Linked DNA regions of Arabidopsis thaliana. The protein of the gene in region 2 interacts with the protein of the main gene of each other region in a pairwise test. Each region holds a gene or a part of one and is shown on either strand. Other genes may lie near its edges.

Region 1 (5,673 bases), 6.4 Mb from region 2:
TAACGTTAATCTCTCGATTTCAAAACGTGTTCCTGAATTTTTCTAATGATATTGTTTCTCTTATATTAAATCAAATAGAGTATATACTTTATGCATGGTTTACTTTACTACAGTTTTCTTTGGTTATAATTTATTGGACCATAAAAAACTAGATAGAAATAATACAACTGGATACAGAATCACAAGTTTCCATAATGAACGCAAAAATTAGAATGAGACGTGTAGATAAAATGGGTCCAAGTCATGTAAACGTGTTCAGCATTATCCACTAGTCTTCTCTTCGTACTACGACCCCAAACCCCACTAGCCTACACCAATCAAACCTACACCAATCAATTATAATATTTTGTCAGACGAGCTTTATGCCAATCTAATGGCTAGTTGAGTGTTTTCTTTTCAAGGTTTGTTTATTGATTCTAAAACTTGGGCCGCCTGAAGTTGAATTTGATACAACAAGCCTTGGAAAATAAAAAGTAATGTTTAAAAATCACAAAACATATGATGGTAAGATATTACTTAGCATTATACACTAAATAACCAAATTGTGAAATTTTATTTTGCAAAATAAAGTGGTGAGAAAATTACAAAATAAATAGGTGTTGATTTTTCGGATTGTTTAAAACAAATACTATGAGTTTTTATCGTGTATTAAACAAATACTAGCTTTTAATTTATCTGATGATACATTATTCTTAAATACAACAATCCACTTATTTATATTTTCACCACACCATATTTTAGCAAAAATAAATTAAATAAAAAATTGTATATCCTAATTAACTCATATGTTTTACAAGAACAAAACACAATACTATTTTTATACGTTCCAAAACTTTGTATTATAATTATTTTAATGTTTCTAAAGTTATAGCAATGTGACTAATGTAACATAAAAAAAAAGAGATTTATATCCTAAATTTTGCAATGTCACTAATTAACAAAAATAAAAAATATGAGAAATTAAAAAATGAGATTTATATCTAAAGTTTTGCAATGTCACTAATATAAAATTAACAAAACAAAAAAAAGGTTGATTTTGGTTTTTTATGTATGTAAAGTTAAAGCAAGTTAAACTAATGTGATATTAAAAAAACCAGGACTCAGAATCCCGCGATGTCGCGGAGGAAATATTCTAAATATGTTTATATAATGATTTAAAAAAAAACAAATCGCATATTATAAATTTTAGTAATTATTTAAAGAATATATATATATATATATATGTATATATATATTAAACAGATTAATAACCGTCAATAATTTTACAAAATTTTGCAATAAAAAAAAGATACAGACGAAGAAAAAAAACTCGTCAATATTAACAAACAATTACGATAATAAACAAGAAAAAAATAATCATCAATGTTTTAGCAAAAAATTGGGATGAAAACACACAAGCGGAAAAAATAACCGTCAATATATTAACCAAAAGTATCAATAAAAAGATATGAATGAAAAAAGGTAAGTTTCAATATTTCATTACACCATATTTTAGCAAAAATAAAATAAAATAAAACAACTATATATCCTAATTAACTCATATGTTTTACAAGAACAAAACACAATACTATTTTTATACGTTCCAAAACTTTGTATTTTAATGTTTCTAAAGTTATAGCAATATGACTGATGTAACATAAATTTAAAAAAAACAAATTAAAAAAAATTAAAAAATGAGATTTTTTTGTTTTAACATATTCTTTCCTATTTATATTATGAGGATTATATAGTAAATTTTGCAATGTCACTAATTAACAAACCAAATATATGTAATTAAATTTAGAAATTTTAAAATGAGATTTATATCTAAAGTATTGCAATGTCCCTAATATAAAATTACCGATTTAGAAATTAAAAAATGATGGTGTTTTTATTTATGTAAAGTTAAAGCAAGATAACTAATCTGATATTAAAAATTAACAAAACAAAACATATAAAATTAAATTAGAAAATAAACAAAATGTGATTAAAATGATATAAAGAGAGAGTCAAAAAAATTGGAGAAGAGGGAAGGAGCAACAAAGAAAAAGTCTGTTTATCATCTTCTTCTTCTTCAAATCGAGATCGAAGAAGAACCAACAAAAAACCAAAAATGGAGACGAAGCCAAACCCTAGACGTCCTTCAAACACAGTTCTACCATATCAAACACCACGATTAAGAGATCATTACCTTCTGGGAAAAAAGCTAGGCCAAGGCCAATTTGGAACAACCTATCTCTGCACAGAGAAATCAACCTCCGCTAATTACGCCTGCAAATCGATCCCGAAGCGAAAGCTCGTGTGTCGCGAGGATTACGAAGATGTATGGCGTGAGATTCAGATCATGCATCATCTCTCTGAGCATCCAAATGTTGTTAGGATCAAAGGGACTTATGAAGATTCGGTGTTTGTTCATATTGTTATGGAGGTTTGTGAAGGTGGTGAGCTTTTTGATCGGATTGTTTCTAAAGGTCATTTTAGTGAGCGTGAAGCTGTCAAGCTTATTAAGACGATTCTTGGTGTTGTTGAGGCTTGTCATTCTCTTGGTGTTATGCATAGAGATCTCAAACCTGAGAATTTCTTGTTTGATAGTCCTAAAGATGATGCTAAGCTTAAGGCTACCGATTTTGGTTTGTCTGTCTTCTATAAGCCAGGTTTGATTTTTCTCTTTTGGTTGATTGATTCATTAATCTTGCAATTGGTGTTTTGGTTTGATGATGATTTTTTCGTTGCTTAAGGGAATTTTGCTTTGTATCTTCATTGAGTCTTTGAAAGTTTATGTGTTGATTGGAATGATTCTGCATTTGTGTATTTTGGCTTGTATCTGTGATTCTTTGAAACCTTATTGTTGGTGGTTCATCGCCTAATTGGTTTTAGTTTACTCTTCAGGACAATGTCTATAAGGTGTAGTTAGGGAGCTTGCTTTGGTTAGTTGTTACTCATTGAGGAGTCTTTGAATGTGTGGATTGGAACTATTCTGCATTTGATTAAGTCTTTGGTTTGGTTTCTTGTAGAATCAGGTTATTTGTGTTTTCTATGAATCGAAAATTGAAACAAAGTGGTTTCTTGATAGAAACAGGTTTGTTGTGTTTTATATGGATTGCAAATCGAAATAAGGTTTTCGGTATGTATAGGTTTGATGATCTGTTTGGTTGGATTCAAATTTGTTACCTTCTTAGAGGGAACATTGTATTGATCGAAATTAATGTGTATAGATGTTCGTCATTGAGGAGTCTCTGAAACTTAATGTGTAGATCGAAATTATTCTGCATTTGTGTGTCTGGCTTGAACCTTCTCATTAATGCCAGTTTATCGGCTAATTGGTTTTTGTTTGCTTCTTCAGGACAATATTTATATGACGTAGTTGGAAGTCCGTACTATGTTGCACCAGAGGTGCTAAAGAAATGTTATGGACCTGAAATAGATGTGTGGAGTGCTGGTGTTATCCTCTACATTTTACTCAGCGGTGTTCCTCCCTTCTGGGCAGGTTAGTCTACTAAAAAAGTAGAGTCTTTTCTATTTACAAGTTTCGAGTTTTTGTTTGAATGATGTATTCTTTTCTCTTGGGCATTGCAGAGACTGAGTCTGGAATCTTTAGACAGATATTGCAAGGGAAGTTAGATTTCAAATCTGACCCGTGGCCTACTATCTCAGAAGCTGCTAAAGATTTGATCTATAAAATGCTCGAAAGGAGCCCCAAGAAACGCATTTCTGCTCATGAAGCCTTGTGTATGTTCATTCTTTGTTGTTCATTTGGAATTAGCAACTGTTGTGAATTGTTTTTATGGTAAATAATGAGTATTGAGTTTGCTCTGAATGTTATATAGGTCACCCATGGATTGTCGATGAACAAGCAGCACCAGACAAGCCTCTTGATCCAGCAGTCTTATCTCGTCTAAAGCAGTTTTCTCAAATGAATAAGATTAAGAAAATGGCATTACGGGTATGAATTCGAGTAATATACATTCGCTTTTTCTTTATGTCCAATCCGTATGCTGATTTCTCTGAACACAGGTAATTGCTGAGAGACTTTCAGAGGAAGAAATTGGAGGTCTGAAGGAATTGTTCAAGATGATAGACACAGACAACAGCGGAACGATTACTTTTGAAGAGCTCAAAGCGGGTTTGAAGAGAGTCGGATCTGAACTGATGGAATCAGAAATCAAGTCTCTCATGGATGCGGTATGAAAGAACCAAAACAAACTCTTTCCTCTTTTCAAAAACTTTTGTTTCCGTTTAACATCCTCTGTGTGTTGTGGTCACAGGCTGATATCGACAACAGTGGTACAATAGACTACGGAGAATTCCTAGCAGCAACCTTACACATGAACAAGATGGAGAGAGAGGAGAATCTGGTGGCTGCATTTTCGTACTTTGACAAAGACGGAAGCGGTTATATCACCATCGATGAGCTTCAGTCAGCTTGCACAGAGTTTGGTCTATGTGATACACCTCTGGACGACATGATCAAGGAGATTGATCTTGACAATGTAAACCACTCTTCTTCTTCTTCTCTTTGTTTACCTCCTTCTTCAATGTTACTTTACTATAACCGAGAGCTTTTGAATTATGTAGGACGGGAAGATCGATTTCTCGGAGTTTACAGCAATGATGAGGAAAGGAGATGGAGTTGGGAGAAGCAGAACCATGATGAAGAACTTGAACTTCAACATTGCTGATGCTTTTGGAGTTGATGGTGAAAAATCTGATGACTGACTCATCATTCTTCCACAATTTCTGTTTTTTTTCTCTTTAATTTCGTTTATATTTTGAATTCTAATTTCTAAGGATACAAAAATATATTCTGGCTTGTTTTTTGCTTTCCTTTTTATTTTTGTACATGAGCAACTTTCTAAATTTTTATCCTCATATGGATAATTTTTGCTTCATATAAAAGTTTTTGAATTCCAAAGAAATGTGATTTAGGGATGGCGAAAAGAAACCGAACCGAACCAAAATCGGATTTCATAAGTAATTTTGTTATAATACAAACTGTGAAACTGTAGAAAATTCTTATAACAACCCAAACCAAATCTAAATTCTTATAACAACCCAGACCAAATCTCAAATTGAAACCAAATTTGGTGAATTTGTAATTAACCAATATTCAGAATTAATATAACTAATTAAATATAAAGTACATTTAAATACACTAAACACTATAAAGAGATTAAGAGTAGTTAGAATTATAATTTTTGTCAAAAATCGAACAAAACCAAAATTGATGTGTATATAATATATTACTTAATTGGAAAACCCAAAATCTGAACCGAAATAAACCGGTAAACCGAAATTGCAAGCTTAGAAATTAAACCAATTTGAAGACAGGGGTACAATGGTAATTTTCAAAGGAAGTGGATAGGATAACACTGCGGATTTATTCTCCGTCGAGCTCCAAAGTCTCGAGCTTAGAGCTCTCTCTCAGTCGAAAACAATGGCGTCTTCTTCAGCGACGCTCTCTCTCTGCTCTACTTTCTCTGCTCATTGCAATGTCAATTCTCGCCGTTCTAGCACTATCCTCTGTTCTCTCTCTAAACCTTCGCTTAATTTGGCTAAACCTCTGACTGGATTTCTTTCTCCTTCCACTGCGTCGACGTCTCGAACCGCATTCACCGTCGCTCCGAAATTCGCGGAATCAGTCGTCGAAGCTGAACCGGAGACTACCGATATCGAAGCTGTGGTGGTTTCCGATGT
Region 2 (3,956 bases):
TTTCAGGCTCCTCTGTGTTTAGAAGCTTGGGATGAAGCACTCAATGAGATAAGCAAGTTATCATATGAGATGATACTTTCACCTCAAAACGCATCAGCTCTTGTAAAATCCATAGGAGATCTTCCAGTTTTAGTTGTTGCCGGAGCTGAAGATGCTCTTGTTCCTTTGAAATCTTCACAAGTTCTGGCTTCAAAACTCACTAATTCTGTAAGTTTCACCTCCTCTCTCAACAAGACTTTCATAACTTAGTTTCTGCTATCTTGAATCTAAGTCTATGTATTTTGTGTGCGCTCACAGAGACTAGTAGAGATCTCTGGTTGCGGCCATCTGCCACACGAGGAGTGTCCTACAACACTTGTTTCCGCTCTCGGCTCCTTCATTTGCAGACTGATACCTAAACTACCAAACTCCTAAAACCACACAAGACCATCTCAAAGAAGAGTTTGATGGAAACATCTGCGAGAACATCAGGAGCTCTCTACACAAGAATACGATTTTTCGTGGTTCCATCCATCAGCGTAAATCAGGCATCAGTGTATTCTTAAAGGGATTAAAACTCCCACCAGATTTGCTACAAAGAACTTTGCTTCAGAATCACATCGACGTCAACTAGGCCAAGTGAATATTATCAGCCTAATTTTCTTAAACACAAACCTGTGATTTTTACTTATGTATGATGTATATATGAATTCTATTTAGAGATAATACAAATCCTTCCCAATGAATTTGCTTTCAAGCTTCTCCAGCGAACAAACCAGCAAGGTAGGTAGTCAGAAATGGTTTTTGGATAATCATTCGAATACATTTTTAAAGATAGATAAATCGACTGGCGTCTCTAACACAAAGTACGCTGATCGAACGAACAATAGCAAACGATCCTAAAAAGAGCTTCTCTAGCATCTTATCAAACAACAACTCTTAAAAACATTTAGAAAACAGAAAAGCAACACAGAACAAAGCGGGTAACTAAAAAAGTCCTATTCCTTGGCGGATTTGTTGATGAGACTCTTGTGGATATGAGGGATGACTCCACCACCAGCTATAGTTCCTTTGATGAGAGTATCGAGCTCCTCATCTCCACGAATCGCAAGCTGCAAATGCCTCGGCGAGATACGTTTCACCTTCAAGTCCTTGCTGGCGTTACCAGCCAACTCCAAAACTTCTGCAGTCAGATACTCCAATATTGCTGCTGTGTAAACAGCTGCAGTTGCTCCAACCCTTCCATGAGCAGTGGACCTTGTCTTTAACAGACGATGCACCCTACCAACTGGGAACTGCACACAATGTAAATTCAATTAGCCACAACAATGGAACCTAAATGAATACTCAAATCTCAATTGCTCCCAGAAACATTTCATATATGACAATAAATCTCTACAAAAAAAACTCCGAATTCAATTCACAAGGTAGCTGTAACAACAAGACTCCGTGAAATCAAAGATCGGGTTCAATATCAACCATAAAAGCTTAATGAAACAATTCTCCAGCAGATAACACAATAGAAAACCAAATCTCGCATCCCAATGTCTCTAATTCTCAGCTGAAATTACCAAATCTAGCTCAGAATCTCATCGATCTACCACTTAAACGCGATCTACTAATCGTTCAGGTGTATAAGACCATTTCGATTCCCAAAGAAACAGACACGGAAGACTTAGAGTGTGAGGGAGATTATAATCTACCTGGAGACCAGCTCGAGAAGAACGAGTGATAGGCTTCTTCTTGTCCTTATCCTTGTCGCTACCGCTGGGTTTCCCCATAATCAAACCTTTAGCACCTTTCCCCGACATTTTCCCGCCAAATATCTCACAGTAAAATCCTTGGAGATTGAAAGAGAAAGGAGATCGCACAACCAAAGATAAAAAGAGAGAGAAGAAGATGAGCTCGAAGAGGAGTCTCCCGATAGACGTTTTCCCCAGATAGAGAGAGACAAGTCGGTCTGTCAAATGACGATTTTACCCTTATACCCCAACCTGCGAAAAAAGCCCAAGCCCAATCTAAAGTCAAATAATCATAAATCACAAATTCGTCCCTAAATTTAGTTCAATATTGAAAAAGACACTTGAAAGAAAACTATTAAATTTTAACACCCATGTTTTGATTCAAAAGAAGAGAGGGAGATCTTTGTTTGTTTTCTCTGTATAATCATTCAGTCTGGAAACAAAACATAGCAAATCATGAACTAAGACATATAGAGGCTTTTTGTACGCTCAGTTTAGCTTAAGTATCAGATGGTTTCTCTGCGGTTTTTCCTTCTTTGTTGATGTGAAAGCCTTCAATCTTCTTTGAAACTTCATCCACGCTATGCTTCACTCTCCTCGAGCTAGTTTCGTTCTCTTCGGGATTTGCTGGTGTTGTTTGCCAGATTCTGATTGTCCCGTCTTCAGATCCCGAGGCATAGGATAAACCAGTGGGAGTAAACCTAACGCAGTGTACTGGACCGTGATGTCCCTTGTTGCATCCTAAGTTTCAGACACAAATGAAACAATCAGAAAACCAAAACCTCGCAGGAGCTTAAAGAACCATGCTTCAAAGATCTATTAAGCTCTTCACTCATGGAGTTTATAACAGAGTCAGAAACTCCAATTAAGCTTGAAGCTATCTGGAATTTAACTTGGACGACAAAAAGGTAATATGACAGTGTCTGATTTGGAATATGATAGCATAGATGTTTTGAAAGTCACTTACCAATCTCTTCGCCAGTGTAGAAATCAAACACTCGGACCCACATATCCTCTCCACCAGCAACAAATTTTTCACCAGACTTTGGCTCCAACGATGCAGATTCAATATTGCAGGGCATGTCGTAACTCTTCACTAGTCCAAAACTTGGAAGAAAAAGCAAGGGGCAAAGATGGGGTTTGAGCAAGATACAAAAGGTAATTAGAAAATATTTGATTCTCTTCCTAGAATGAGAACTTACTGGTTAGCGTCCCAGAATTTAACAGTTGACCCATCAGCAGTTGTTATATACCGTCCATCTTGGCTCACTTCAGCACTGGTGACAGGAGACTTAGTTTCTAACGTTTGCACAATTTTCCCACTCCTCACATCCCATAACCTGTATAAGATAGCAGTAGAGGAGACGGAAAAGCAAACAAAACGTCTATCAAACTATGCCTTTTTATGTGCGACAATGTGTATTTAGTCTGTGTCTTGTTTAGTTCATACCTTACACCGCCAATATCAGTACATGAACTTAATATTGTTTGATCACTGTGAAGCCATGTGAGGGTTCTGATAGAACCAGGAGATTTATCAACTTCTGTAGGAGGTGCATCCAACCGATTCATGTCAAAAACACGAAGAATTTTCTCAAACCCTCCTGTGAGCAACGATTTTGTATCCTAGTGAAAGAAAAATGTCATTCAATTAGTGACGATGCATAAAAGCGGATCGACACCATCCACAAACAACAAATGTTTAAGAATAGTCCAATCTGAAGAACAATTTCACTATCACCTAATTAAACAAATCCTCAAAGCTTTTTACTTAAATTCCGTGCAGTTGCCTGAATAAGAGCTATTACATAACAACCTGCCCACAACCGATAATCCAAAACACAGAGATACAAAAGCTTATGCCTATAAAGACAAAACAGGATTAAAGTATTTCAGTAGATAATTCCAATTCTTTTAGCCTACCATCTTACAAAACCCCAGTTGACCAAATCGAGAATCTATATGGAGAGAGTAAATAGGTTGAACGAACCTCTGAGAAGGCGCATGCTCGGACAATATGCTTGTGCTCAAAAGAATGCAGCACATCCCCTGTTAACGCATCCCAAAGTTTGCTGAACAAAACAAGATAACAAAAAATTGGATAAATGTGCTGTATCTAAGAACATAAAACATACGCAAATAATGACTTAATGAACCAAAAAAAATTAAACACATACGCTGAAAAATCGGCAGAAGCAGATGCAGCACGTAATGCATTGTTATCCAGACAAGAAC

What was found.
Region 1: the proteins of HTA9 (region 2) and CDPK2 interact in binary tests that used the Arabidopsis thaliana proteins (3 or more experiments, as listed by UniProt).

The regions. Positions count from the first base shown.
Region 1 is NC_003070.9:13,203,364-13,209,036, forward strand, and holds CDPK2 (calcium-dependent protein kinase 2), read left to right. Parts: upstream 1-1,981; 5' UTR 1,982-2,092; coding exon 2,093-2,633; intron 2,634-3,322; coding exon 3,323-3,466; intron 3,467-3,555; coding exon 3,556-3,708; intron 3,709-3,806; coding exon 3,807-3,922; intron 3,923-3,993; coding exon 3,994-4,161; intron 4,162-4,244; coding exon 4,245-4,469; intron 4,470-4,554; coding exon 4,555-4,695; 3' UTR 4,696-4,926; downstream 4,927-5,673. Other genes in the region: RPL21C (Ribosomal protein L21), read left to right, coding at 5,414-5,673. UniProt on the Arabidopsis thaliana protein: May play a role in signal transduction pathways that involve calcium as a second messenger. Functions as a regulator of the calcium-mediated abscisic acid (ABA) signaling pathway. Phosphorylates ABA-responsive transcription factors ABF1 and ABF4 in vitro.
Region 2 is NC_003070.9:19,643,243-19,647,198, reverse strand, and holds HTA9 (histone H2A protein 9), read right to left. Parts: upstream 1,964-3,956; 5' UTR 1,791-1,963; coding exon 1,683-1,790; intron 1,275-1,682; coding exon 978-1,274; 3' UTR 714-977; downstream 1-713. Other genes in the region: AT1G52750 (alpha/beta-Hydrolases superfamily protein), read left to right, coding at 7-207, 298-414; AT1G52730 (Transducin/WD40 repeat-like superfamily protein), read right to left, coding at 2,221-2,462, 2,689-2,828, 2,924-3,061, 3,172-3,347, 3,712-3,793, 3,899-3,956. UniProt on the Arabidopsis thaliana protein: Variant histones H2A are synthesized throughout the cell cycle and are very different from classical S-phase regulated H2A. May replace conventional H2A in a subset of nucleosomes.